4 linked regions of the Saccharomyces cerevisiae S288C genome follow. The protein of the gene in region 2 interacts with the protein of the main gene of each other region in a biochemical or structural test. Each region holds a gene or a part of one and is shown on either strand. Other genes may lie near its edges. The genes, in order: PIB2, TOR1, MAF1 and SCD6.

Evidence for each region.
Region 1: the proteins of TOR1 (region 2) and PIB2 form a complex in vitro, tested with the Saccharomyces cerevisiae proteins (3 studies listed by BioGRID).
Region 3: of the proteins of TOR1 (region 2) and MAF1, one has a biochemical effect on the other in vitro, tested with the Saccharomyces cerevisiae proteins (one study listed by BioGRID).
Region 4: of the proteins of TOR1 (region 2) and SCD6, one has a biochemical effect on the other in vitro, tested with the Saccharomyces cerevisiae proteins (one study listed by BioGRID).

What each region holds. Positions count from the first base shown.
Region 1 is NC_001139.9:449,697-453,768, reverse strand, and holds PIB2 (Pib2p), read left to right. Parts: upstream 1-1,664; coding exon 1,665-3,572; downstream 3,573-4,072. Other genes in the region: dolichyl-diphosphooligosaccharide--protein glycosyltransferase subunit STT3, read right to left, coding at 1-1,365; PGD1 (Pgd1p), read left to right, coding at 3,812-4,072. UniProt on the Saccharomyces cerevisiae protein: Functions as an intracellular glutamine sensor that directly activates the TORC1 signaling pathway, to promote cell growth when glutamine is available. May play a role in repressing NPR1 activity independently of TORC1 signaling.
Region 2 is NC_001142.9:555,626-567,069, reverse strand, and holds TOR1 (phosphatidylinositol kinase-related protein kinase TOR1), read right to left. Parts: upstream 7,655-11,444; coding exon 242-7,654; downstream 1-241. Other genes in the region: YAE1 (Yae1p), read left to right, coding at 1-51; ARP3 (actin-related protein 3), read left to right, coding at 7,912-9,261; chaperonin-containing T-complex subunit CCT5, read right to left, coding at 9,468-11,156.
Region 3 is NC_001136.10:454,713-462,056, forward strand, and holds MAF1 (RNA polymerase III-inhibiting protein MAF1), read right to left. Parts: upstream 3,392-7,344; coding exon 3,386-3,391; intron 3,306-3,385; coding exon 2,124-3,305; downstream 1-2,123. Other genes in the region: RCR2 (Rcr2p), read left to right, coding at 1-42; YDR003W-A (uncharacterized protein), read left to right, coding at 70-192; putative DNA-dependent ATPase RAD57, read left to right, coding at 489-1,871; SOK1 (Sok1p), read right to left, coding at 3,830-6,535; phosphoribosylanthranilate isomerase TRP1, read left to right, coding at 7,130-7,344. UniProt on the Saccharomyces cerevisiae protein: Mediator of diverse signals that repress RNA polymerase III transcription. Inhibits the de novo assembly of TFIIIB onto DNA.
Region 4 is NC_001148.4:789,684-796,410, reverse strand, and holds SCD6 (Scd6p), read right to left. Parts: upstream 3,725-6,727; coding exon 2,675-3,724; downstream 1-2,674. Other genes in the region: transcription factor SPN1, read left to right, coding at 1-433; 40S ribosomal protein uS12 RPS23B, read right to left, coding at 644-1,016, 1,382-1,446; peptide alpha-N-acetyltransferase complex B subunit NAT3, read left to right, coding at 1,913-2,500; ANT1 (Ant1p), read left to right, coding at 4,207-5,193; YPR127W (pyridoxine 4-dehydrogenase), read right to left, coding at 5,291-6,328.

The sequences.
Region 1 (4,072 bases), on a different chromosome or scaffold from region 2:
GAATGATCCGGAAACAATCAATTTGGCCAGTAGTGCCGCAGGTTTGATGGCGTATTTGCGGTCACTTGTCTTGAAATCCAGGTAGATGTCAAATATCTTGGACAATGCGACGGCGGCGGACACACAGATGACTGGTGTCAAAGTCAACATCAATCTAACCATAACACCGGCAAAGTACGAACACAGAACGGAGTAAGCGATGACAAAAACGTGCTCGTCTTTCAAGTCGAGGAATAGTAGGAATACACCGGCGGGGAATAGCCAGATCAAAAAGTGGGTATCAAAGAAGAAAGCGGGCCACGAAACGGGTTGATGTTCGGAAACGGAGGCAATGATAGGAATGTGGATCTTTGCGTAGTTGGTATCCCATAACGAATAAAATCTACCAGTCCAAGGGGCAATCAACCCCATATAGGTCAAGGCAGAAAGTCCGACCACACCAAGGACCAAGATCAAAAACAGAGAAACCATCATGATGACTTTAAACTTAGCTGTGCTGATTTGGCCCTTCACGAAGTCACCGAAGGCGACAATCTGAATCAAACCGAAAACACCCAATGCGGCCATGTGGTCGTTAGACCTGATAGGTAGGAAACCGACAAATGGGATCTGCATGGATGCAACAGTTCCAATAGCGTACCAAGTGGTGTAGGCAGAATACAGTTTGGACGAATATCTGCCCATCAAAATCAGCAAAAAGACATGGAGTGGGATCAAGTTGGTGATGAACACGTATCCACCCCAAGCCGACACCATGTAGAAGTAGAATAAAGCTGCACACGTTGCGTGCATGATAGAGCCAGTCTTTTGGGCCTTAATCCAAAACATGAAAGTGACCATTAATAGTGTAATGGCAATGGCCTCATTATCGTAGGACCCCGCCACTGATCTAGATATATAACCGGGGACAATGGCTATAAAACCAGCAGCCAAAAGCCCAGCGCTGGCATCTTTAATCTCTTTCGTAAATTCGTAAGTCGCCCAGGCGGTGACCCCAGAAAATAGTGGCGCAAATAGCACACAAACGTTTCTGATGTCAATGGGCAAGCCCAACCAGTTGCGCAGGGCGTGCCAGATGAACGCACTAGTCGTCATCAAACCAGGATATAAAGTCCCTCCAGTAACCCTTCCGAGGGGGTACCAGGTACGGTCGTCAAACCAGTTCAAAAACTTGTAAAACGAATTGTTGACGAGATATTTGGTAGCCCTATAATTGAACCAGGGGTCGAATTCATGGATAATAGACTCAAATTTGATGACTGCAAACAAACGTGATGATATGGCAGCCCCAAAAATCGCCACGAAGATGACGAGCTTGAGGATGGTCTGAAACACAGACAAAACACACGACCGGTCGGATCCCATGGCAGCTGTGATAATGACGAATGGTAGTTAGGATTTACGGCTGTGAATGCGATTGCGGATGCTATGTCACGTTGAATTAGACCGTGCTTTTGCTGCTTTTCTTTCTTTCAGACTTGCTCTTTTGTTCGTGTCTTATTTTGTCAATTCTCGACCAGCGCGAAAAAGCAACCGTCGATGGTGACCATTTAGCAGAGGCGAAGAGAAGTAAAAGAAAGCTTATGATATGACTATTGAGACCTGGAATAGGTACGAAGCGCCAGTGAGGAGGACTGGGCAGCACAGTTGTAGTGGAGACCAGAATGACTGCGTTGCATAGTGTGTCCAAAACGCCCGCGATCAAGGAAGAGGAGGAGGACGGTGATGAGCGAGACGGCAGAGGAGTTCCCCTGGGACCAAGGAACCATGACTACCGTGGCAGGAAAGGTGATGAGGAAAGCGGTGCTGACACCGTGACATCTCCCATCACGTTTGAAAAGAAGAAGATAGCGCCCAGGGCGTCAACGCATTCCGAACAGAGTATTTTGAGCAGCATCTCATTGAAATCGATGGTAAATCAACATCGTCAGCAGCAGTTGCAGCAAGAGAGCTCAACAGGGGCAGGCACTGGGTTTGTTGACAGAAAGCAGCAGATCCAATCTCCGGCGATGGTGTCCATATTGAGGAAGAACTCTGCTGAGGAGAATGTTCGCAGCAGCCACAGTAGCAAGCTCGGTGAAGGGCAGATAGATGGTAGGAAGGCTTCTGCTAGTAAGGAGATCGGCAAGACGTTGCCATTCACGGATGACCAAAGATCGAACCCTGAACTAGATCCCACCAATAGCGTGGTGGATGTTAGCAGGGGCAAGAATACAAAGAGCAAAACTGTGTTCAATGAGTTAGAAGATGATGCCGATGACGATGACGAGGTTCGACAAAAGAATCTAACCACGCAGGCGTTACGCAAGTTGTCGTCGTTCAAAATGAATGCTAGTTCTAATTTGAGGTTGAGTAAAGAAAACAAGGCGAAAGAGTCTTCATCTTCGTCCACGTCTTCAGTGTCGTCATCGTCGACGTCGAAGGTGGAAAATATTGTCGACAAGCTGACTACAACGAATTCTAGCTCGATGTCCCAACTGCGGTTTGGCAACACGAACGTCATTATTGATTCGGTGAATCATGCGGCGAAACCGCCGCATCAGCAGATGCTAAGGAAACCCTCGCTGGAATTTTTACCGCAGCCTGCTTCGAGCACTAATCTGAATTTTAATTCCAATAAACATAAATCAAATGTAAGACAGATCAGTAACCCTAAAAAACCGCTATACATCCCCGCCGTGCTGAGGAAAGTTTCAGAGACAAACATAACTAATGACGATCTGTTGAATGCAACATTGTCGTCTTACTACAAGAAGGCATCTAACCTGGAACATGGCTTTAATCCAAGCAAGTCGCAATCCGCTAGCGTTCAGAATGCGAACAACCTACGGATCATATCTTCTCAATCCAGCGTACAATCCAACACATCGTCAATCTTGGAAAGCTACAAAAACAAAATATCCTCGTACTTGTTCCCGAATTCTATTCCGAACAGCGACAGAATCAACTTAATACCAACTATTTCAAACAGAAACTCTGCCAGAGTAAACCCGCCCACTAAGGACCACTGGATTCCGGACAGTAAGAGGAATTCTTGTCGTTACTGCCATAAGCCTTTTACCCTGTGGGAAAGGAAACATCATTGCAGGCATTGCGGGGACATCTTTTGTCAAGACCATTTGCGCCATTGGCTGTACCTGGACTCGCAGGCAAATTTTATAATGATCAACGAACTAAACAACGGTGGCATAAATGGCGGTGGCACTCTCTGTAAAATATGCGATGACTGTCTGGTCGAGTACGAGAACCTTTCAACCACGAACCATAACGCAAACACGAACGAGGATAACATAAACGTTGAGGAGGGCGAAGATGACGATAATGACAATAGGAAGAAATTACGCAATTACTACAAGAATAGGCAGATGAACGCTCTTTTCAGACCAAAGAAGGGCGGTTCGTCCCAAGAGCATGCCACGGTTGATCGAGACACAACAACGCCCATCCAGGTGAAGTCGAACGACGAAGAAGCAGATAATGAGAATACGGGGGGAGAACAAGAAGAAGGTAATGATGTTTTGGGCAGTGTTATCGGCTCTGTGCCTGCAAACTGGAATTGGAGTAGTTTCTGATGAACATTTTTTGCGAGACAAGCGAAGAGAGGATGTACACTATTGATGTATGACCATTATGTATACAATAAACTTAATATAATATGATATAATATAATATAATATATAACACTAACACTTTCCTGAGGATTTTCGGTATGGCGCCGAGCGAAATTTTAAAGAGAACAACAGAAACAGTCACCAAGACTTCTTCAATTAGGCAGCGCAAAACGGACACAACAGCAGTAAAGACAACCGGAATGGACTCGATTATACCGGCAGGCGTCAAGCTAGATGATTTACAAGTGATATTGGCTAAGAACGAGAATGAAACCAGGGACAAAGTGTGTAAGCAGATCAACGAAGCACGCGATGAAATTCTGCCGTTGCGATTGCAGTTCAATGAATTCATACAGATAATGGCAAACATAGACCAAGAAGGATCCAAGCAGGCTGACCGTATGGCCAAATACCTACATATCAGAGACAAGATTTTGCAACTGAACGATAGATTCCAGACT
Region 2 (11,444 bases):
GATATTGCCAATACCTATTGTGAAAAGTACCATGTGCCATCTATCCAATAAAGTTGTTTTAAATGGAGTTGATTTCACAATTTATGTACCTTATATCATCCTTCATTTCACATAATGACGAGATATTACAAAAATAATGATAATAATAATAATAATACACAATACTTGCACACGTATACAAATGCGTAATACAAAAAAAATAAATAGTAAACAAAGCACGAAATGAAAAATGACACCGCAGTCACCAGAATGGGCACCATCCAATATAATGTTGACATAACCTTTCAATAGAAGTGGCTTGTTGGATCAGTTTATCAACCTGCTCAGGGACGTCTAATTCATTGAACCTCTTGATATCATTGCCCGTTAATTTATCTGTAATACGTCTCAAAACAAGCATTGCTCTGGCGTTTTTGGTCTCATTTTGTTGTTCTGCTTCCATATTTGCCGCTTCTTCGACAGTAATTGCCCCCTTCCTTAATAATTCACTAGGATTAATCAACGGCAAAGGAATTCCAGTTTGCTCAGTAAGTTTTTGTGGCGGTAAATCAAATCCCCAATGGATCAAAGGATCAAGCGCAAAAGCTTCCAAGATCGCCATTAATGATTCTTTATTATCTCTTAAGACTCTCATGACATTTTCACAAGTAATTCGGAAACTGCCTTCAATTCCACTAACTTCCATTGCGTATGTTAACATCCTAGTTAGTCTAAATGGCACTTTTTCTGGATACTTTTCTCTTAAGATGGCAGCTTCAAAACAATCGCCGAAATCAATGTGGATAACTTTACCGGTGATTCTATCTAGCATCAGGTTGCTTGGATGGCGATCACCTAGTCCCAGAATATAACCAGTCATGGACATAACTGCTAAAGATCTCGTATAAGTTGTTCTACGTTCTAGCCATGTCTCTGACGACCTACTCTTTAACCATAATATTTTATAAAGGTCTTGGCCTTTTGTATTATCTAAAGCGTACGTGAATACTTCAATTTTTTGTAAAAGAGTCAAATTCTCATAATCGGGGGCCATTTGTAACATAACCCAATGTTCAATGTTCAACGGAATTTTTTTGGCATCACGGTGTTCTCTGATCAAAACGTGGAATGTGTCACTATTTGGTACCCATCCTAGTAAACCAGATTTAGGCGACAATGGAATAGCCGGGTATTGTTGGATATCCAAATGTCTCTTGAAACACTCTGAATCATTCTTCAACAAAGTGTTAACTAGACCAAATAATTGCATAACAAGGCTATCTTGTCTTATATCTTCATGTCCCTTTAAAACGTATTTATAATCTTTACCGTCGCTACCCTTGATGGAGAATTTTCTTGGCCTTTGCTTCGAAGAGATCACAGAAAATAATGGCTCAAACTTCGCTATTCTAATGGTAGGTTTTCCTGGGAAATATGTCCCAGGAACAGCCAATTCGAGATCATGAGTAGCCAGAAGCTGGGGAGAAACATGCTGTAAGTCTAAGGTTTGTAACTGTGGTATTTGACGTGTTATTTTTCTGAAGACGTTATAATAAATATCCCAAGCTTGGTTCAAATTATTGATGTCTTTTGACTTTTTGTAGTTATTCAACCATTCGTAGGCATCGTTCAAATCTCTACCAAATGATTTCTGAAACGATACCTCACTTAACGTTTGAGGCTCATTGCCTAAGTGTTTATGTAAAGGTTCTAAAGTAGAAAACATTTTTTCTATGTTATGTTCAACGAAAAATTGGCGGCTCGCATCTTCCAGTCCTTCATACCATAATTCGTGCCATAGAACGGCTACTCTGATCAACTCGTGACTAACTAATTCTGCCTGGTTTACCAGGACTGGACTATGAATCCTAATTTTCTCTATTATTGAAAGAGCCGCTTTTTGTCTTGAAACAGATTCAGACTTGATCGCGACAGTTAAAGGATACACGAGAGCTTGTGGATGAGCTTTCCCTAAATCAGAAAGCAACGACAAAAGGGAATTACTCACCGTAGGATCTGGCTGATGTATACGAGAGATCAACTGTGGTAAGACTTCAAGCCAGTTCTCTATTTTCATCAAATTGAAGCCTTCATACATGGCTTGTGAGACTTCTTTAATACCACCAAAGTTAAATAAAAGAGTCAATAACCTCAACGTGTCTTGCAAACAACTTGTTTCTAATAGAGATATTGAATGAAAAAAGCCCTTGATCGCTGGAACAACATGTCTTTGAATAAGCTCTAGCGGGTATCTGTTGCCATTAATAGTCAAAGAACCACTTCCTAGGATACTACCGTCAATCCGCACATTATCATTATTAACTGCCGTGTCATCATCATCATCATTCTTACCTCCGTTGAGCTTAGTCTCTTCCTGAACCATGGATATTACTTCAAAATTAGCTAAGGCCCAATTATGCCATGCCTTGTACCAATTTTTATCGAAATGTGTAGCCAATAGATAAGAACCAAGAATTGCATCCGGATTTGTGTTTCTCCAGTTCGGTTGTGTTGCTATTCTCCACTCACCTTGCTTTAAAAAACATCGAGCTAATAATTTTGTGTATTCCTCAACATACGGAGCAGTACTTGCACTTGAGAGTTTGACACTTTGCGCGATCATATTATTCGGATCCAAACCAAGATCATGCGCTAACCTGGATGTAAATCCTATCAAGTGGTTTAATGCTTCTTTATAAGCTCCTGTAGCCCAAATATATTTTAGTTGCGCGTAAACAACTGGGGGAGGAGCTTTGAACGTATTTGGTAAACTAGGATCGTTGCCTCCTTCTAGTAGCATATTCAATGCCTTATTTGCTAGCCTCATTCTACCAGATTTTCTGCACAAATTTGCAAATTTTATCCATATTTGCAGGTCTTGCTTGGGCTTTATTACCAATGATCTTACTCTAAGCACTCTTTGCCATAAATCGACATTTTTTTGGCAGCCCAGCAGTCTTTTTGTCCAAAGATTTTGATAGTGAAGTTTTTTCTCGGAATTAGGTGGCAATTGTTTATACTTGATGATTTCCTCAAACTCTGTTATTATTTGAGTTCTAACAATAACGCTATATGCTCTATTATAACTTTCATTGATCAACGCGGAAATTTCAGTCACAAGCAAATCTCTGGCGTTTAATATATGCTTACTAGCATTGTCGTAATCATTCTTGTGCAAGTATAAAATTGCATCAAAAAATTCCTTATCTGGAGATTTAGGTTTCATAACGCTGATATATTGCTCAAGCATATCCCACTCTCCCAACCCCCACGCAGCACCAGCTGCCAAGGGAGCTATTAGCTTCTTAGTTTGTAGCTTCGAAACTTTCCACTTTCTAGCTGCCAATTGCGACAACTGTTCCCATTCGCCAAGGGCATGAAGGGATCTCATCTTACCGAGTGTAACGCTCACGGAAGTATCACCTGCCTTTTCACGTTCATTATAAGCATGTAGTGCATCTTCCCAACGCTCTAATTTTTCAAACCATGTCTCCTTTAATTGAAGTGAATGATGTTGTTGGGCATGCTTTAATATACCAATTGCAGCATCCGTTTGATTCAGCTGGTTGTTAATGCTGATCAATGATTCAATAGTTGAGTTCTCAGGCTCTTTAATAAATTTAATCTCTTTATAATGTAGCGCTTTGGCATAGGCGTGACATCTTTCAGCATACTCGCCCAGGCTTTGAGTTGGTATTGGTAATGCCTTGTCATCGTGTTCCATAAATTCTACCAGGTTTAACAATGTTTGATGTATTTCTGGTGGATTTAAGGGAGAAGATAAGGCTATACATAATGACCCAATTAAATCTTCTTGATATTGGCTATAAAGTTCGGTCCAAACACATGCGAATGCGGTATTAAAAAGTTCTTTGGCTAGTGGATAATACATGCTTGCAAGATTTGAACAAGCTCTTAGAGCATGGGAGGGTGACTCTTTTAATAATTGAATGGATAGACGTTTGCTCCATTCCTGCCAATCTTCTTTAGTTCTTTGTTGGCTAGAATTCCATGCACTTTTCAAAACTGATTGGTTTATAGGTAATTTTGCGACCCCAGCATCTGCTGCCTCCATTTGTTCCGCGGGCTTATAATCCGTTGTATTTGCTTCAAGAATTTTTGTGGGTAAAACATCATTGTTTAATATTCTGTTTGTCAAGTCATCATATATTGTGTGTTGAATATGTTTCTTCATTAAAACTTCATTAATGACAGGGATGAAGATAGCAAAGGATGTGCCCATTTGTATTAGCAGTAGACTTAAAGTATTCATAATGACTTTTGAGAGTTCGTCACTCGTTGTTGAACTTAGTACCCTAAGTAAAGAGTGAACAATTCTTGAGGACATCTCAAAAAGGTCAACATCCTTGGCCAGTTTGCCAATAGTAATTATTGCAGACCTTTGTAGGTTCCCGCTGGTGAATTCTGCCATTTGAACTATCTTGGGTGTAATCAAATGCGAATAACCTTCTAAGTTAGGACCAAACGATTCTAACAGTCTCAATACCCTTCTGGAGAGGACCTTGTCACTAGACTTGTCATTCTCCAAAATTACAAGGAACAAGGTCAGAGTAAGAGGGACCAATCTTTTGAATTCACCCTCCAGAGCCTTTGATATTGCTTCAATAACACTTACAAGCGTTATTTGTAGCTTAGCAACCGAAGAAAAATCTTTGATAGCCTGGAATATAGAATCGACATGAGGTCTTATGTGTTGCCTTACGATAATAATCAAAGAGCAAAGCTGTTGGAAGTAAAATTCTAATAGTGACTGAGAGCATGTACGCATTACGTCCAAAATAGTTGGGATGATCTGGTCCAAGAATGAAACACATTTTAGACCAAGGGTTTGAAAAATATGCATAATCGCTTGGATCACGGCAGTGTGGTAAGATGATAGGGATGGATCTTTTAGGATTTTTAGCAGGCAGTGAATGACAACAGTGGTATAATACTCATCATTCGAAGGAGACATGCCCTGCATGAGAAGAGCAATGTCGATAGGCGGGGCGTTCTGTTCTGTAGATATATCGGTAGTAGAGGTAACCTCACGTTCTTTTTGGCGATATGGGTCGATAGCTCCCAGTATACCTATCAAAGTGACTGTTTGTCTCCTAATATTTTGAGAGTTTTCTGTCTTCAATATATTCACCAATATACCCAATAATTCGGGATAGTCGAGTAAAGGATCTATCACGTAACCAGATGAGGCTGCAAGTTGACCAAGGGCCTTAAGTGCAGCTTCTCTCTTGAAAGAGTTTGATTGATCCTGAAATGTTTTGATAATTAAAGGAAACAAATCCTTAAGATATATCTTCATATCTTCGCCCCCTACAACAGATAGCTCACCTATAGTTCTCAGTGCAGTTGATGCAACCGTTGAAGAGGTATCTTGGAATTTTGGTAAAAGAACATTTAAAAGAGGTTCGATATAAGGTTTCGCAACATCTTTACTCGACCTGATAAGAGTACATAACAAACTGGCAGTTTCTTCCTTTTCTCGAGAAGAAGTTGAGAATTTTAATTTTGTTAGCAGTTCCAGTAGTATTTTTCTTATCGATGGGATGACGTATGCAGGGTTTACGGAAGACAACCTACCGACAAGCTCCATTGCTACTGACTGAATATTGAACGACTCATCGTGCAGTGCAGTAAACAAGAGTCTCAAATTATCTGGTTGTGCCAACTGGGGATCGAAACATGGATTAAGATTCTTTAAAACTTCTAAACGGATATCTTGTAAAGGGTCCGCAATCGTAATGGCTAGAAGCTTTGATAACACTTCAGATACAGTGTTCAGAGAGTGTAGTGATGTTTGTTTGCAGATGTTATCCTTGACGTAAATTTCACAAGATGTCAACGCAGCTAGTTTCCTTACTCTGGGATCTGTATGCTCAATGTAAGAAAGTGCAACAATTCTCACGAATTCCACCAACGAAAATCTGCTTTTGATATTTTTTAACATTCTAAAAGCTTGTATAATGATTTTTATATCATTATTATCATCGTTACTTTCACCAGTTTTCTGTAGGATGTTTTTATTTCTCCATTCTCTTGCTCTTTCTCTCGAAAACGATGGTATCTCCATTGGTGACCCTGGCTGGATAAATGGTGTTCCAGATAAGGTTGAACAGACTAGGTTAAGCAACTCGTCATTTATTTTGGGGCCTAGTGATGGTATTCTCTCAGTCAGAATTTGAAACGTTTCCTGCATATAGTCGGAAAGAGGGCATTTGAACATCAGGTCCAGTATATTTCTGTTTAATAATTTACCTAGAACGGGGCCCAAGGGAACTGCCAATCTTCCGATGCAGTAGAAAATTTCATTTTCAAATTTCTTTCTGAATTTGAATTTCGTCTGTAAATCATGTTCAATATAATCAAGAATTTGTTTCACATAAGGTGCGATATCGGGCCCGACTTCATATGCAATATCACCAATCGATATTAAAATCTGTGGTTTGTCATCTTTGAGATGTGGTATTTTATTTGCTGGAGCATTGGTTAAAATCTCTAAATAGTTGTCCATAATTTGGTGCAAATATTTGCCAGCAAATAATTGAGGATTGAACGATGCTAATAGGGGAACAATCTGGTAAATCTTTTCTCTAATCATTTTCGCTTTATGATTTTCATAAGCTATGCAATTTAGACACATTTGGTCGAACACTTGATTCAAAAAGGGATCCTTCAAAAACAAGATTTCCTTATAAACCAACAAACTTGCATGGATGCATTCTAATGTGTTTACTTGAAATCCGTATTCACAACTTGTAGCCAATCTCTGCACCCACTGGCTAGTTAACTGAGGATCCCTATTTCGTAGGGTGGAAAGACATTTGGCCAATGTAATGGACGCATCAATTCTGATCACCAAATGTGGGTCTCTTAGTGCTCTCCAAATGTTATCTAGTATGGAATTCAAGTATTGGTAGAGTAAATAAGGACAATTCTCTGCCAACGCTGTTATAATCAGAAGCGCAGCATGTTTAGCATGGTCTGGCTTCGAACTCGAGAATGAATTCTTTTCCGTGGAGGCAGTAAGCCATTCTAAGCAAGACTTTATCTCAAATTCCACGAAATCAGAGGTATATGTACCTCCTGGAACGGCTAACTTGCCCAGAGTCTTTGCAGCGAGTCTCATGACCTCTACATCATTAGAAGGTATTAGCCCTCGAAGGTAACCAGCCAGTCGTGAAGTTTCGTTAGGCAACCTTTCAGTATATGCGTAGAATGAAATCAAAGTGTCTATGGATAGAACAGCCCCTACCCTAGTGCTCGTTTTTTTTGTATGGACCAGCTCCAAAATCTTATTGTTTATGTCATTTGAAACTGCTTGGAACTCTTCTATCGACAATTCATGTTCCAAGGATACTAGTAGATCAAATAATGAAATACTGGCCAATTTTCGTTCCTCCTTGTAATCACTGGTTAATTCGCGGAAAATTTTCTCCAAAATGGGCTTAAAATTTACATCCCCATTACTGCCAATCACCACTCCATCAAACCTACTAGAAGTCAGACCGAATTCATCCCCGTTCCTGCTCGCATTCATTTTCATGTTCATATTCACATTCAGATTCGGTGCCAACGGCACATTTCTATCCATGTCCATATCGTTGTTAGCCGCTTTCAAAAGTTTACTCTTCCAAATCTGCTCCTCATGCGGTTCCATATCAATGCAAACCTGCTAGCCGGTTGATGTATGTTTCACTTTACCAATGACTCTCTCGTGAAGCTACTATGGCTCTTTTTTAACGTAAGCTCAAGAAGACCCTTCGATAAGGACTTTCAGTAGTCACCCGGCTGTCCGCGGCTTCAAAATGGCGAGAACCCCTTTTCAAAAGTTTCAAACAAAAATATATGAGAGTAGTTTAATCAAGAATTGGCCCTACCGTAAGGCCTCACGATTGAGCAAGAAATTAGGATTCAATGTCATACTTAAACAATCCCGCTGTTGTCATGGACAATGGTACCGGGCTGACCAAGCTCGGTTTCGCCGGTAATGATTCTCCCTCCTGGGTCTTCCCTACTGCAATAGCCACAGCTGCACCTTCAAATACAAAGAAGTCCTCGGGCGTTGGTGCGCCCTCAGCAGTTAGTAATGAAGCATCATACTTTGGAAATTCCACCTCTGCAACCAATTTCAATGGTGCAACAGGTGGTTTGCTGTCTAATAATTTATCCGGTAAAAGAGGTACAGAAGATTTGGATTTCTATATTGGAAATGAGGCTTTAGTAGCATCCCAAGGACCCTCTTACTCTTTGAGCTATCCAATCAGACACGGTCAAGTGGAAAATTGGGATCACATGGAAAGATTCTGGGAAAATTCCATCTTCAAGTATTTAAGAACAGAGCCTGAAGATCATTTTTTCCTATTGACCGAACCACCACTGAATCCTCCAGAAAACAGAGAGCAAGTGGCGGAGATTTTTTTTGAATCATTTAATTGTGCTGGTCTATATATTGCTGTGCAAGCAGTTTTGGCTCTGGCTGCGTCATGGACCTCTTCAAAAGTCACGGATAGATCATTAACTGGTACTGTTATAGATTCTGGTGATGGTGTCACCCACGTCATCCCAGTGGCGGAAGGTTACGTCATTGGCTCAGCAATTAAAAACATTCCAATAGCCGGTAGAGACATCACATTGTTCATCCAATCCTTGCTAAGAGAACGTGGTGAAGCAGACACTTCCTTGAGAACTGCCGAAAAGATTAAGCAAGAATACTGTTACGTCTGTCCAGATATTGTAAAGGAGTTTAACAAATTCGATAAAGATCCTTCTAAATTTGCCCAATTTGTGGTGGAAAACCAAGAAAAGACAAGGAGAAAAGTCGTAGATATTGGTTACGAAAGATTCTTAGCACCTGAAATCTTCTTCAATCCAGAAATTGCATCCTCAGACTTCTTGACTCCTTTACCCACGGTAGTGGATCAAACTATCCAGGCTTGCCCTATTGACGTCCGTAAAGGTTTATACAACAATATTGTACTATCAGGTGGGTCTACCATGTTCAAAGATTTTGGACGTCGTTTACAAAGAGATCTAAAGTCTATCGTAAATAACAGAATCGCACAAAGTGAGCTGTTAAGTGGAACTAAATCGACTGGTGTAGATGTTTCCGTGATTTCTCATCGGAAGCAGAGAAACGCTGTCTGGTTTGGTGGCTCGCTGCTGGCACAAACAGCCGAATTCAAAGGCTACTGTCACACTAAGAAAGATTATGAGGAATATGGTCCGGAAATTGTTAGAAATTTCAGCCTTTTCAACATGGTTTGATTATTGAGTCATGACTCATCTTATAAGGAAAAAGGTACAAAAACAAATGCAAATAACTGAAACGCCCCTCACTTCATTTAAATATACGTATACAACTGATTATATACACGTATATGTACAATCAAGTAACCCCAAATGCTGATCTGAGAAAAAAAATTGTGGGATATGTGATTAAAACTTATCTTTTATTATTTATTTATACAAAATCAATACTCATCTTTACCACTAATGATGACGTTATCAATCTTTAAAATCATTCTACATAATTGAGTAGCTAAAAGAATTTGCTGCTTTTTGCCAATAAATGGATCAACGACAAATAGTTCCTTCATGTCATTAGACCCGTAACCTAAGCAATCGACACCAATGTTGGAAATCTTTTCTTTCAGTTGTTTACTTTTCAATGTAGACAAAGTTCCGATTGGATCAAGACCAGAATTTTCAGCCAAAGTCATTGGAATGGTGTCTAACGCTTGGGCGAATCCACGGAATGCATACTGATCAATACCACGTTGCTTATCAGCTTCCTCAGAGACAGCCAGGGACATAGTCACTTCGGCTGCTCCCCCACCGTAAACTACACGTGAGTCTTTAACCAAGTTACGTACCACACATAGTGAGTCATGCAATGCACGTTCAGCTTCATCCACGATCATTTTATTGGAACCGCGAACAAAACATGTTACAGTTTTTGTTTCTTTACTTTGCTCGATAATCAGCATACGATCCTTAGTAGTACCAAACTCCTGCTCGTAAATTCTGGAACATGTACCTAATTTATCCTTAGACAAGTCTTGAAATCTTGGAACAATGCGACCGTTTGTGGAAATGGCAATGTGTTCTAGTTCTTGGCCACCTACCCATCTTACGGCAGGTAAATCATTCTGTAGAAGTAGATGATTGGCCTCATCGTCAAACCCCCATTGGCATATAACAACATCTGCGCCCGCTTTCTTCACATCGTCTATCATTTCTTTGAACTTATCTTGTTCATAAGTCTGTAATTTTTGGTATTCTTCTACTGAAGAAATGTCTAATTTATGCTTGGTCTTTGGTTTAGGAGGTTCAAATGGACACGTTAATATAGCTAACTTAACACCATCAGAGCCCTCTTTTGGTAAAACACATTTAGGCATTTGTGGATGAGAAAAATCTTTATCCAAAATGACACCATTAATCAATTTTGAATCGCTTATAGATCCGCCAACCCGTCCTTGCATTTTGATTAAATCGAAATCCACGTCTTTACGATCTTTGTCCATGACATTTATGACGGCTTCCACAGCCATTTCAGCAAATCTATCATGATCCTTGGAAACAATTTTGGAGCCCAAAGAAGTTTTGGCGGCCCTCAATAAAAAGTCCCTGAACAATTCATCGTTTGACGCAGAAATGTCGTCACATGTTTCTTCTAACTTGGAAATGGCTAATTTGGCGGCTTCATCAAATCCATTAGCGATTTTGATTGGATGTATACCCTTTTGAATTAACTCCAATGCTTGGTCAAGTAGCGCACTTGCCAGAACAACAACACCAGTAGTACCATCACCAATTTCATCATCTTGAGATTTGGAAAGTTGTACTAACAACTTTGCAATCTCATTATCTAGCTCCATTTGGGACAAAATTGTAGCACCATCGTTAGTGATGGTGATTTCACCGTCAGGTGAAATCAAGATCTTATCTAACCCACGGGGACCCAACGAAGTTTTGATAATAGAAGCTACTGATCTAGCAGCCAATATATGTGATTTCTTGGCCTCTAATCCGTGCTGTCTCTTCTTGTTACCTTGATCCTTCACGATAATAAAGGGTCTACCCATCTCGTCTTGTGCCACAATGGCGTTCGACAGATCCGGCATTTCCATAGGAGGTTGTTGTGGACGAGCAGCCATTTTCAAATATTGCTATAAAAATGGATGATAGCTGTTATTACTTTGAGTTTGTAGCTCTTTATCACGCACACCTCATTTGCCACATCCACCAAGACACTATTATATTTCTAGTTGTTCCTTAACAAAATTTTTCATTCAATGGCATAAATCACTTTACACGTTCTCGAGAACAGTAGATGCGATGAGTATGATAAATAGTAAGAATAATATGATAATGTACGCTATTATATCGTCAGTACATAGATTTTTTGTTTTTATAAATGATGTTCTATAGATGTTCACATGATG
Region 3 (7,344 bases), on a different chromosome or scaffold from region 2:
GATGTTAATAACGCGCCGGCAAGAGCGAAAGTGAGTAAGTGATTTTTCGTTTAATGAATTTATTATCGCATGACTTGCGGTATAGAAAATAGTTATAAGAGTGCTGAAAAAAAAAAGAAGTACAGAAGTTTTCGTTTCTTTGAAAGTCGCGATTATTCCGAGTTGTGTATTATAGTAGGAACATACTATTGATTTAGGTTTGAGAGCTGGTAGTATCGACGTCCAGAACAGTCAATTCATCGGAACGCTTTCGACTCGGTCCACGGAAAAGCCATTCAACGATTTATACGGACGGTGATTTTGATTAGTCTAATTGCCTATATATTATAAATATATTCTTCCTTTACCTATTTCTTCTCACACATTATCCTCTAAGTAACATGAGAATTCAGATGCCGGTTAATCTTCGGCTTTTTCGCGTTGAATTCAAAAAATGAAAATGATGAACAACCACTGGGAATTCACCATTTTTCAAAGTGTGTAAATTCATGCCTAGGGCCTTATCAATAAAATTTGACAATACGTATATGGACCTTTACGATGAATTACCGGAAAGTAAACTCCTTTATGATGAAGAATTTTCATATCTTTTGGATGCAGTAAGGCAAAATGGTGTCTGCGTCGTAGATTTTTTAACACTCACTCCGAAGGAATTGGCAAGGCTAATACAAAGGTCGATAAATGAGGTTTTCAGATTTCAGCAATTGCTTGTTCATGAATATAATGAAAAGTACTTAGAAATCTGTGAAAAAAACTCTATCAGCCCAGATAACGGTCCTGAGTGTTTCACGACTGCTGATGTAGCTATGGATGAATTATTAGGTGGAGGCATATTCACGCATGGCATTACAGAAATATTCGGAGAGAGCTCTACTGGTAAATCTCAATTACTTATGCAGTTGGCGTTAAGTGTCCAACTTTCCGAACCTGCGGGAGGGCTTGGCGGCAAATGTGTATATATTACCACTGAGGGCGATTTACCAACTCAGAGATTGGAAAGTATGCTATCGTCTAGGCCGGCTTATGAAAAACTAGGTATTACACAATCAAATATTTTCACCGTCAGCTGTAACGACCTAATAAATCAGGAACACATAATCAATGTTCAGTTGCCTATTTTATTAGAGAGATCTAAGGGTTCAATAAAATTGGTGATAATAGATTCGATTTCTCATCATTTGAGGGTGGAGCTTCAGAACAAGTCCTTCAGAGAATCCCAAGAAAATAAAAACTATCTGGATAGGATGGCAGAGAAGCTCCAAATACTGGCCCACGATTATTCATTATCCGTTGTGGTGGCTAATCAAGTTGGGGATAAACCACTGGCTAACAGTCCAGTGGCACATAGGACATATGTAACTGATTATGATTATCAGCTAGGGTGGCTAGTTGGCTGGAAGAACTCAACCATTCTTTATCGGCAGATGAATTCGCTGCTTGGAGCAAGTTCCAATAACGATGAAATTCTATCAGACGATGAAGATTATATGCTAATCGAGAGAGTTATGAGCACTGTAAATGACCGGAATTATGATTTTTTTTCAAAAAAGAAACCACCCATAATTGAGAATAAAACCGTTGAGCGAAATTCATCAAGTCCTATCAGTCGACAAAGTAAGAAACGGAAATTTGACTATCGTGTCCCCAATCTCGGTTTGACTTGGTCCAATCACGTTTCAACACGAATATTACTTCAAAAATCTTTCAAGGCTTCAACAATAATTCAAAGAGGTGAAGCTCATCTTTATAAGGGAGGTGATTCGGCAAGCTTCTGGCAAGTTAAGAGGACAATGAAAGTGGTATATTCCACATTCGCTAAGCCTGGTCAAATTGCATATCAAATTACTAAGCGAGGAATAGAAACAGCCTGATTGAAGTTCCGTATTCGAAAGAAACTAAGAGCTTTGCAGTAATATATGATGAAGGCAGTCTTTTTATATAGTAGCGCACATTATTCAATCCTCGCTAAAGTGTTCAATTAGTAAATATAATATTGTCATAAAGGTACATAGTTGAAAAGGGTATTTTTTTAAAAATAGAAACTTACAATAGTAGACATAAAGGGACTGTTTTTAACGATTATAGGTGTAAGACAAGGAAAATTCACAAATTAAAGTTTAAAACTACTGTAGGGATTCTTCTTGATCTGATTTATCATCTATTACATTCTCATCATAAGTGAAATCGTATTCTCCTTCGTATTCATTTGAGCCATCATCTATTATAAGCTTTCCCTGAGGTTTTTTTGCCAAGGCATCTTCCACTTCGCCTGTACTCGAATTTAGACGCGAGCAAATCAAGTAAAGGTAAGCCACTCTTTTCCTTTTCCTGTTGTAAAGAAAACCTATAAGATTCCAAAGATAGCCAGGCTCATCTTCCAAAAAAGAGTTTGAAGGTGAATATTGAAAAAGGACGCAATCAGAAAGAGTCATGTGAGAATTAATTACCTCCCAGACCCATTCCTCTGGTTGTCTACCAAGAGAATATAAGGTGTTTTCAAATTTGGAAATAAAAGTTTTCAATGATGTTTTGACAAAATCCGTTGGCTCAACCGATGAAAAATCATGGTCAGGATAAGAAGCGTTGAGGATAGCAATCAGATAAGCAAATATTTTGCGGCTTGACGGTTCGTTTATGGGACCAAACGGACCCAAACTTAAATTGCTTGGCCTTTCGTTTATCGAAGATTTTCTTCTTTTGTTAACATTGTTGGTTGCTGTACCAGAACTGTAATTATTGTTCGATGATTTACCACTTTTGAAACTGCTAATACTGCTACTGCTCCTTCTTCTTATCCTCTCATCATTCTTAGAAGAAGAATCAAGAGACGATGAGCTCATAGAGCCAGAATCGTAATTCGAGACTAATTCTTTTAAATTTTGGTCATTTAGCTTGGCACTTTTGGGAAAAGTTGCTGGAGAAGAACCATTAGGTCCAGAATAGTTATTGTTATTACTGCTATTGCCATTACTGTTGTTAGTGTTATTATTGCTATTGTATTCACTAAAAGATATTCTTCTCTTTTGCTCCCAAAAAGAGTTGCTATCCCTCCTATTAGAATAAAATGGCGACGAGCAGGGTGATTGGTTTGTTTCGGGAGCAGCTAGCTGTTGCTGAAGGGTAGCATTGTAATTCTCATTTTCCTGTAAAATAGTATCCAAATGCTGATCAATAGTTTTATATAATTTTCTATCTGATGCAACCGCCTTTGTTGTGAAAATATCGCAACTGCCCACGATTTTACAGTCATTTGTCTCGAAATTGAGAGTTTGATTCACTCTCTCTATATCTAGCTCATCAATAAACTAAGGAAGAAAAGGAGGGTTCAGGTACAATGTTAGTAATTTCGAATAAAGAGCATGGCAGTTTTAGAGTGATAACATACTTTCATTGTCGTGATTCTTTAGGCAAAAAAATCCGTTTGGAGTAATGAGCGGTTAAACTTGTTCTTGGTGAAGTGTGCAGAGTTTCTAAACTTTAAGTAAATGACACTAAGCCTATATTTTTCGCATTGCTAAAGAAACACTGATACATAATGTGTCTACATTTTATATAGCTGATAGCACGTTCTTTTTAAGTTGAATTATCTTTTTTTTCTCTTGTTAAATAAGATGGACAACGCGCTTTCGCTGGCGAGATGAAGCGCCCCTGATTGACAAGCAACTCGTGGAGGCAAGTAATTAGCGACGCTTTACTTTGTCTGATAGCAGTAAATATGTGACTGCATTTAAGAAGTGAAATTATAAGAAATGTACGCTTTAAAAATGATATATGAAGTTACATAAAGAAATGGTAAAAAAATTTTTTTTTCCTCCATTACCGATAATAGTTATATTCCTTTTTTATTAACTTTATCTCCTAACATTTCGATATAATGAGGACCGAATACGGACCAATGAAGGTTGATTAATGCATATAAGTGGCGATAAACATTCTCGAATTCCTCCAGCTCTGTTGCTGCGAATAAACCTCTGGATGCAATCGCATTGCCAGTAGGTGTGGTGGTGGAGGTTTTAGAAGGAGACATCAAAGACGGGCTGATTTTAACGCTAGCAGTATCTGTAGTAGTACTCAAAGTGTTAGTGCTACCTACGTTGCCATTGTTTGTGTTGTAGAGGTACACAAAGTCTTGTTTAACGCGTCCATCAATTGTGCACTCGGACCTGTTGAAGATAGCGTCCTCTAGTGATTTGAATACTCTATTTTCTAGGACACCATAAACTTCACTGAGGGGTTGAGTTTGCTTAGATAACCAAGATTTAGCAAAGGTTATTTTTGAGTTGTCTAATGAAGGCAATTGAGGCCTTCTGGCTTGTTCACAACTACCATTGTTGTCGTACTCCCTGTGAAGATCGTCAATAACTTTGCAAAGATGAACAGCAATAGACATTGTGTTTTTAGTCCACCTACAATTGCCGTGTTCATCTGTTATAATGCTGATAATTTCATTCTTCAGCCTTTTAGTTGAGTATGTATGAATAACATATTCCTTTGTAGCTTTATCCATTGAAGGATCGTTGGCCACCAATTGTTGGAAAAGTAAACGGCAAACTAAAATACAAACAATTTGACGTATATCGGCACGCAAAAGGATCAATCTTGCATGATCAAAAGAAAGCGGAGTTGGGTACTCTCTCACCATCTTCCTACATGACAATAGGTTAATTATACTTCTAATGCAAATATTGTAGACATCAGGGATAGTGATAGAACTTGGATTTCTAACAAGGCCAGCGGTAACATTTTCGTTGAATTTTTTATCAAACCAAAGTAGGGAAGTATTTAAATTCACCCTTTTAGAGGCTATAAGAGTGTTGAAATACTGTTTCTCAAATTCTACAGCATTACTTAACAGAGCTGGCCTTAGTATTCTTATTTGATGATTGGCAATATCCAATTTCATTGTTTCCAAAATTTGAAAAACCAACCTTAAACCTTCTATTAACCTTGTTAAAGAAGAGTCTCTTTCAGCTTCTTTAAATTTGTTGCTCATTTTATCCACCCATGGGTCCCTCATGGGGGCACAATGATGTTTAAATAAATCAGCCAACCAGCCTGACAAGTTAGACATTATCAGAGAACCTTTCAATAGTTCTTGAATGTTCAATTCTGTGTCCAGTACATTATTTATCATCGGAGACTCTTTTTGTGGGACTATCGTTAACAATACATCCCTTAAAGTGTCAAAAAGTGGGACTAGTCTTGACCTGTTATATTGGAATATTTCAGGCCTCTTAGAGTAAACATAAATTTCATTTTGAACATCATTCCAATAGATATTCGCCAATTGTCTTTTTTTATTCCCTCTTTCGCCATCAAGATTTGGCCTGAATTGTAGTAGCGGGTCGAATATTATATCATGTCTTAGTTGTGGGTTTTTCAGAATTTCCTGTAAGTCAATCTCTTTTAAGCCCTGCAAATTTATAGGAGGAAATGGAACAGGCGTTGGAGTAGCCTTTATGTAGTTTATTCTATCTTCCAAAGTTAAGTCAAAGTTTGAGCTTGATAGGAAGCTTTGATTTGTCATTGAAGTGGCAGTGGAATTATTAATGTTGTCATTATTAGCGTTAGTGCTTGCGTTACCTGATATTTGTTGATTTAAAAAAATTGCGCGCTTTAATGAAAGAGGGTTTGAACTGAGAGGATTATTAGAATGCAAATATGGTTGATGATGGTTTCTAGAAAATTTTTTCTTTGATATGCCGGAAGGAGTTGGATGATTTAAAAGAATATTTTGATTACGATAGTATTGATTGTGGGATGATAATTTTCTTAAAGAAGAATGCAAAATAGTGGGTACGGAATGCGACCTCATTTTTTTATTTGAAAAGATCCTTAAAAAGTTAGAAGCATTTCCTGGTGGCTGTTGTTGTGCTGCTTGTTCTTTGTGTGGTTCCGTTGCTGGTGGCAATTGCGGCGCGGATGCAGACGGTGGTTGCTTTGACGACGGTGGTGGGGAGGGAGATGGATTGTTGATATTAGTATAAATATTCTTTGGGGGTATCGAATCAACTTTATTGTTCCTCCTTATTTCTTCTTCATTATCATCGTTTTTCAAGAATTGACCAGTCTTGGTGTCGAACGTCTTGAATATAGTATTGTCCCTGTCTATAGGGATCTTCAAATCACTACTATTAGCTGAATTGCCACTGCTATCGTTGTTAGTGGCGTTAGTGCTTGCATTCAAAGACATGGAGGGCGTTATTACGCCGGAGCTCCTCGACAGCAGATCTGATGACTGGTCAATATATTTTTGCATTGAGGCTCTGTTTGGAATTATATTTTGAGATGACCCATCTAATGTACTGGTATCACCAGATTTCATGTCGTTTTTTAAAGCGGCTGCTTGAGTCTTAGCAATAGCGTCACCATCTGGTGAATCCTTTGAAGGAACCACTGACGAAGGTTTGGACAGTGACGAAGAGGATCTTTCCTGCTTTGAATTAGTCGCGCTGGGAGCAGATGACGAGTTGGTGGAGCTGGGGGCAGGATTGCTGGCCGTCGTGGGTCCTGAATGGGTCCTTGGCTGGTCCATCTCTATTCTGAAAACGGAAGAGGAGTAGGGAATATTACTGGCTGAAAATAAGTCTTGAATGAACGTATACGCGTATATTTCTACCAATCTCTCAACACTGAGTAATGGTAGTTATAAGAAAGAGACCGAGTTAGGGACAGTTAGAGGCGGTGGAGATATTCCTTATGGCATGTCTGGCGATGATAAAACTTTTCAAACGGCAGCCCCGATCTAAAAGAGCTGACAGGGAAATGGTCAGAAAAAGAAACGTGCACCCGCCCGTCTGGACGCGCCGCTCACCCGCACGGCAGAGACCAATCAGTAAAAATCAACGGTTAACGACATTACTATATATATAATATAGGAAGCATTTAATAGAACAGCATCGTAATATATGTGTACTTTGCAGTTATGACGCCAGATGGCAGTAGTGGAAGATATTCTTTATTGAAAAATAGCTTGTCACCTTACGTACAATCTTGATCCGGAGCTTTTCTTTTTTTGCCGATTAAGAATTCGGTCGAAAAAAGAAAAGGAGAGGGCCAAGAGGGAGGGCATTGGTGACTATTGAGCACGTGAGTATACGTGATTAAGCACACAAAGGCAGCTTGGAGTATGTCTGTTATTAATTTCACAGGTAGTTCTGGTCCATTGGTGAAAGTTTGCGGCTTGCAGAGCACAGAGGCCGCAGAATGTGCTCTAGATTCCGATGCTGACTTGCTGGGTATTATATGTGTGCCCAATAGAAAGAGAACAATTGACCCGGTTATTGCAAGGAAAATTTCAAGTCTTGTAAAAGCATATAAAAATAGTTCAGGCACTCCGAAATA
Region 4 (6,727 bases), on a different chromosome or scaffold from region 2:
TTATACAAAGTCCAAGCGTGTCGAAGCTCAACTAGCTAGGTTGGCTGAAAAATTAATTGCGGAGTGGACAAGACCTATTATTGGTGCTTCAGATAACTACAGAGATAAGAGAATAATGCAATTAGAGTTTGATTCTGAAAAATTGAGAAAGAAATCCGTTATGGATTCTGCCAAAAATAGGAAAAAGAAATCTAAGTCTGGTGAAGATCCTACCTCTCGTGGTTCTTCGGTACAAACCTTGTACGAACAAGCTGCTGCAAGGAGAAACAGGGCTGCCGCACCAGCACAAACCACTACTGATTACAAGTATGCTCCTGTGAGTAACCTTAGCGCAGTACCTACAAACGCAAGAGCAGTTGGTGTTGGTTCCACTTTAAACAATAGTGAGATGTACAAGAGGTTGACTTCAAGATTAAACAAGAAGCATAAATAATAACAAAACAGGTAATTCCGTAATGCTTTGAGATATGTATCATATGTATGTGTTTTTTGTTTAAGAAATTCGAAATAACACTAGGTGGTTTTATTAAGAGGATTATTAAATAAGCTTGATGTTTGATGATTTTGAAGAATTATTTAATCTCTTAAACATATACATACACAGTAGAATTTTTCGAATTATGAAATCGTAATATAACTCTGCTTAAGATCTTGGCTTTTCCTTCTTTTCCTTCCACAAAGCCAACAAGGAGACACCAGAGACCTTAACGACCTTGAATCTAACACCTGGAATATCACCCTTAGCCTTACCCTTTCTACCGAAACCGGCTAGCAAGACTTCGTCATTTTCATCGACAAAGTTCAAACAACCATCGTTTGGAACGAAAGCAGTAACCTTCTTACCGTTCTTGATTAATTGAACTCTAACACACTTTCTGATAGCAGAGTTAGGTTGCTTGGATTCGATACCCAACTTTTCCAAGACAATACCCTTGGCGTGAGAAGAACCACCGAATGGAGAAGACTTGAAGGCAGTACCCAATAATCTCTTCTTATAGTTGTTTTCGGCCCAACGGCTGTTTTAAACGATTAACTTTTGACAAAACATAGTTTCATCAAAAAGATTAATAAATTTGTTAGTAAATGAGGTTCTCGTAGTGAATTCATTATCTGAGATGGCAGAAATTCATTGTAGATTTTCAGTTTCATCACTTGTGGACTTTCTTATTCAAAATTCGCAAAATGGCCTTTCTCCTCCTAAAAGCTGATGAATTCAAATGGCTATAATAAATTAAGTAGCCCTACCCTAGTTTCTTGCAAAATTATTCTCCCTTACTTTTTCAAGCTTCCAACTCATTTCATGGTAGCAATGGCCGATCCTTTCTTCTACTTATTATGAAAATCTTTCAACCATAGTGCAATCTTCTATAATTGTACATACTTGTTTCTTCTGTGGACACGCAACTTTCTAGCGGAGTTCAAACCTCTTGGCTTACCTTTACCCATCTTTTCTTGTAGTTTGTTGTTCTTACCTGCTTCTGGAATCTACAATATTAAACATGTAAGCTTCATAACCTTACCATCACTAATAGTATCTCGATCTTGAAAATTGCGAAAGCGTGGAGACAAGGAGCTCCTACAAACACAGTCATTCCAATGCGGTAGTGCTTAGCAAAACCTCGGCTGCGCAGAAGGAGCTTTGATACATAGAAGCTAGCCCACCTACCTAGGCGCAAAAAACATAGCGGTGGGCGCACGTTGGTGGGCCTGGGAAGAAAAAAATTCCCTCGTCGATAATATAAATATGTATGGGTGTTTGGAGATGTTCGGATGTTACTTTATGCATGTCCTTTTTATTAATATTAATGTTGAAGCAATATCTAATGAAGTATATATAGTTCACAATATTGCTTATGTGAAAGATAGTGGAACATTGAGAATATTCAAGGAAAGAGACAGGAGGATTCGAGAAATGACAACAATTCAGCCTTTTGAACCTGTCGATTTATTCAAAACTAACAATGTCAACCTTGATATCTTAACAGAAAACTTCCCTTTAGAGTTTTATTTTGAATACATGATAATATGGCCAGACCTTTTTTTCAAAAGTTCAGAAATGACTGTTGATCCTACATTTAAGCATAATATCTCTGGTTACATGATGGCAAAAACAGAAGGCAAGACCACGGAGTGGCACACTCATATAACTGCAGTGACAGTAGCTCCAAGATTCCGCCGAATATCGCTAGCTTCGAAGTTATGTAATACTTTGGAGACCATGACCGATGTCATGCCCCATGAAGTCAACTTTATCGATCTTTTCGTCAAGTGCAATAACCAATTGGCCATCAAACTTTACGAAAAATTGGGATACAGTGTCTACAGGAGAGTGGTGGGATATTATAACTCAGCTGAAGATGGGTATCCAGATACCCTGAAAAAAGTAGATGACAATAAAGATGCTTTTGATATGAGAAAAGCTATGGCTAGGGACAGGAACAGAAGCGTACGGCCGGATGGAAGAAGCCATAAATGCTATCCACATGATGTAAGATTTTAAGGTATGTATTACCTCGTCCTCATACTCAGAACATAATAATGAACCTCTGTGCTATTCATATTTTGCGATACGCACTAAAATAATACTATCCAGAGGCGCGGACTATAATACTATTAATTTGATTTTTGTATGTACATACTGAATGATATACTTAATTTACATAGAAACATCATTTTAAAATTCAACGTTGGAAGGAGGTTGCGAAAACTGGTTGGCTGGTCTGCTGTACGAGTCGTTTTGGTTCTGATAGGCGCCACTATCATTTTGGTAGTTATTTCTGTTTTGGTAGTTTCCACGTTGGCCGCCTCTTCCTCTGTTTCCTCTGTTTCCCCTATAATTTCCACGCCCACGACCGAGGCCTCTAGAGTGAAATCTTGGTCTGGCAGAAGCTTGTCCAAAGGTGTCAACGTTCAACATTTTTTCTTCTTGCCATCTCATATTGGTATTAGTTTCAGTAGAAGTGGAGATGGTGTCGAAAAAAGACGATTTTTTATTATAAAACTGCTCATCAGATTCATCCTGCTTGTGAACAGCTGATTCTAATTCTTTTTCTTTTTCCACATCAGTGGAATCACCTTTCGTGAATTTTGCATTATTTGATTGAAAGTCAAAATCTTCATTCGGAATATCGACTTTGAAATTGCGGTTGGATTGAGGAGGGCGATTACTTGATCTATTCTTGTTTCTTTGATATTTTGGCTCATTTTCACCATTTTTACCTCTTTCCCTACTTTGCGAGTTTACATTGGTGTCTTGAGGAGTGCTCTTATCATTCATACTAGCAGTAGCGGTTTCTGTCGAAGTTGGGGTGTAAACACCATATCCAGCGACAGCTGCTGGCACATTGGATTCGGGCTTTGGAACTTGGGGGTTTGTTTGCACGTGTGCTTGAGCTTGAGCCTGGGGTGGAGATTGAGCTTGTTGAGGAGGGAATTGTGAAGCGGGTGGCATCATTTGAGGAACAACCGGCTGTATGTCATTGATGTTAGCATCTAAAATGCTTAAATCCTTGACTTCACTGCCGTTGAACTTTACAGAATTGTATACCGTAGGATTCGGATAAATTTCTTCAGGACCCCAGTTCTTGCGACCTTCTGTACCAAAACAGCGAACTTCTTTCAAAGTCACGGTACCCTTTTCAGAGTCAATATCTTCTAACAGCCCCACATATCTGTTGTCAGTCACAGAGATTAAAGAAATAGTTTTACCGATGTACTGCGACATTGCCTTGCTGCTGTTTTTCGATGAATGCTTCTTCTACGACATCCTCACTATTCGTTTATTGTTCTTTCTGACTGCCTCCACGTTATTCTTTACAATCGCGGGTACAGTTTAATTTTTCCACCGTGTAAGGTGACGGGACTATGGTACTGGACTGAGGAATCATTACATATACGTCAGTAATGGGTATCTTCATAATAAACACCTTTATCCATTTAATATGGAAATCGATTGCACTGTCATTTAAAATAGCGGCATCTATGATACTTAGAGGGCAATTGCATTGATAGAAGTTGTGTCATTTGGTGTTCTCCTCGGATCGAGTTTTAAATCCGATTTTTGCATCTCGGTCCGAGTGACTATTTCAGATAATTGGTAAATATAAGAAGAGCAAGAAGATGTGCAAAAAATAGAGAAAATATGATGCTGCGTAAAAGTACAGACACCCTGGAAGCTAGGCCAAGATTGTTACGAGCATATCATCAATGTTAACTCTAGAGTCTGCATTAACTGGCGCTGTGGCTTCGGCAATGGCCAATATTGCAGTTTATCCGCTGGATTTATCGAAGACGATCATTCAGTCACAAGTATCTCCTTCTTCAAGTGAGGATAGTAACGAAGGTAAAGTTTTGCCCAATAGGAGATATAAGAATGTTGTAGATTGCATGATAAACATATTCAAAGAAAAGGGTATTTTGGGTCTGTATCAAGGTATGACAGTCACTACGGTGGCCACATTTGTCCAGAATTTTGTTTATTTCTTTTGGTACACATTTATCAGAAAGTCCTACATGAAACATAAGCTGTTAGGACTGCAATCACTGAAAAACCGCGATGGTCCTATCACACCTTCTACGATTGAAGAATTGGTACTTGGGGTAGCAGCTGCCAGTATATCGCAACTTTTTACTAGTCCCATGGCTGTGGTAGCTACAAGACAACAAACAGTCCATTCTGCAGAGTCTGCCAAATTTACCAACGTTATTAAGGACATTTACCGTGAAAATAATGGGGACATAACTGCTTTTTGGAAAGGTTTAAGAACAGGTTTAGCATTGACGATAAATCCTTCCATCACATATGCCTCTTTTCAAAGACTTAAAGAAGTTTTTTTCCATGACCATTCCAACGATGCTGGCAGTTTGTCAGCAGTGCAAAATTTCATTTTGGGTGTCCTTTCCAAGATGATTTCGACTCTAGTTACGCAACCCTTGATTGTCGCTAAAGCAATGCTTCAAAGCGCTGGCTCTAAATTCACTACTTTCCAAGAAGCGCTACTATACTTGTACAAAAATGAAGGGTTAAAATCTCTTTGGAAGGGAGTTCTTCCTCAATTGACAAAGGGTGTCATTGTGCAAGGTCTGTTGTTTGCTTTCAGAGGAGAATTGACAAAATCTTTAAAGAGGCTAATATTCTTGTACTCTTCTTTTTTCCTAAAGCACAACGGACAACGCAAGCTGGCTTCCACTTGAGAATCCTTACTATTACTGAAATAAGCACATTGCGTTTAGAATCTTTACATATCAAATTTAAAATTTATATAAACAATGGAGATTCACTTTTTTAACCTTACGCCATTTCGTATCTGTCACCAACAGTATGGAAAGTAGTCAAATATTTGTTAATGGCATTGAACTCTTGATCGGTAAGTTTGGTTTTCTGTTCATCAAAGTTTTCATTAACCTTGGAAATAGAAGAGCCACTTGGAATTGGGATAAATTTGGCGCCACTGTATTCCGGAACTTTGTTCCAGTGCTTAACCCATCCCAAAGCCAGTTGTGCAAGAGTAATGGAGTTGTTTTGTGGGCGCTTGTCGACTATTTCTTCCTGTAGAAACCTGACCAAGGTCAGGTTTTTTTTCAAAGACTCGTCGCTAAATCTCTTTAACGACTTTCTAAAGTCACCCTCAGGGATATCAGCGTTTGACTTCAATTGACCTGTCAACAATCCTCTGCCCAGTGGGGAGTAGCAGATGATGGACAACCCCAATTCAGCACATGTTTTAGCAATTCCGTTGTGTAAAATGTCATTACTGAACAAAGAAAGTTCCACTTCAACGCAGGTCAAAAACTTTCCCCAATCCTTGTGAATAGCTCTAATTTGCTCTTCATTAACTTCACTTAATGAAATACCGCCAATAACGCCTTCGGAGATCATCTCAGCAAGCGCTTCGAACGATTCGTAGGGGTAGACCTCTCCTTTCGTGCATAGGGAAGTGTCGATTCTTGCGACTTCGAAGATGTCGATGTAGCCACCAATAGCACTAACTGAATTCTTTACGCTTTGTACAACATCATCGTGACTGCCTCTGGGGGTTAAGGTAGCATTGTCTGCACCACCTTTACAACTGATAACCACATCCTTTCTCAAATCTGGGTATTTCGCAAAGAAGTCGTGAACATACGACAAATTAATAAAATCGGGACCATAGAATTCACCAACGTTGAAAAAGGCCTTGTGCCCACGTTCTCTGGATAACTCAACCACTCTGTGCATGGCCTCGAAAGCCTGCGACTGAGGGATAGGCTCGGCTCTCCAAGTCAAACTCATTAAACCATAGCCAGTATCTAACTTGTGGATGTTGTTTTTCAAATCGGCGACAGACATTTTATTTTTACTTTTTTTGGTGTATATTTTAGTTAATATGTACCTGTTTTTCTATTCTACATAACATAGAAAATGGCAAGGAAAATAATTTTAAGAGAGAGTCCTGAGATGAAGTAAAAAATTTGGTAAATTGACAACCCCTTATATAATAAATGCCTATTCTACGGTTCAATAGACACTCTATTCTTTGAGTAATTTTGAGGGAGAGCAGCAATGATTAACTTAGTACCGTTCTACCAAGTACGCCCTTGATTACCTCATTAACGAACAAAAACGCAGATCCCTTCCTAAGGCGGCCGAGACGGCCGCTTCATCCGTCTCGGCCGGGTGTCATTCTTCTAATATATTTGGTAAAGGACTTGGGAGATGCGCAAAAGGGAGATAGTTGCGCTTTTTTTT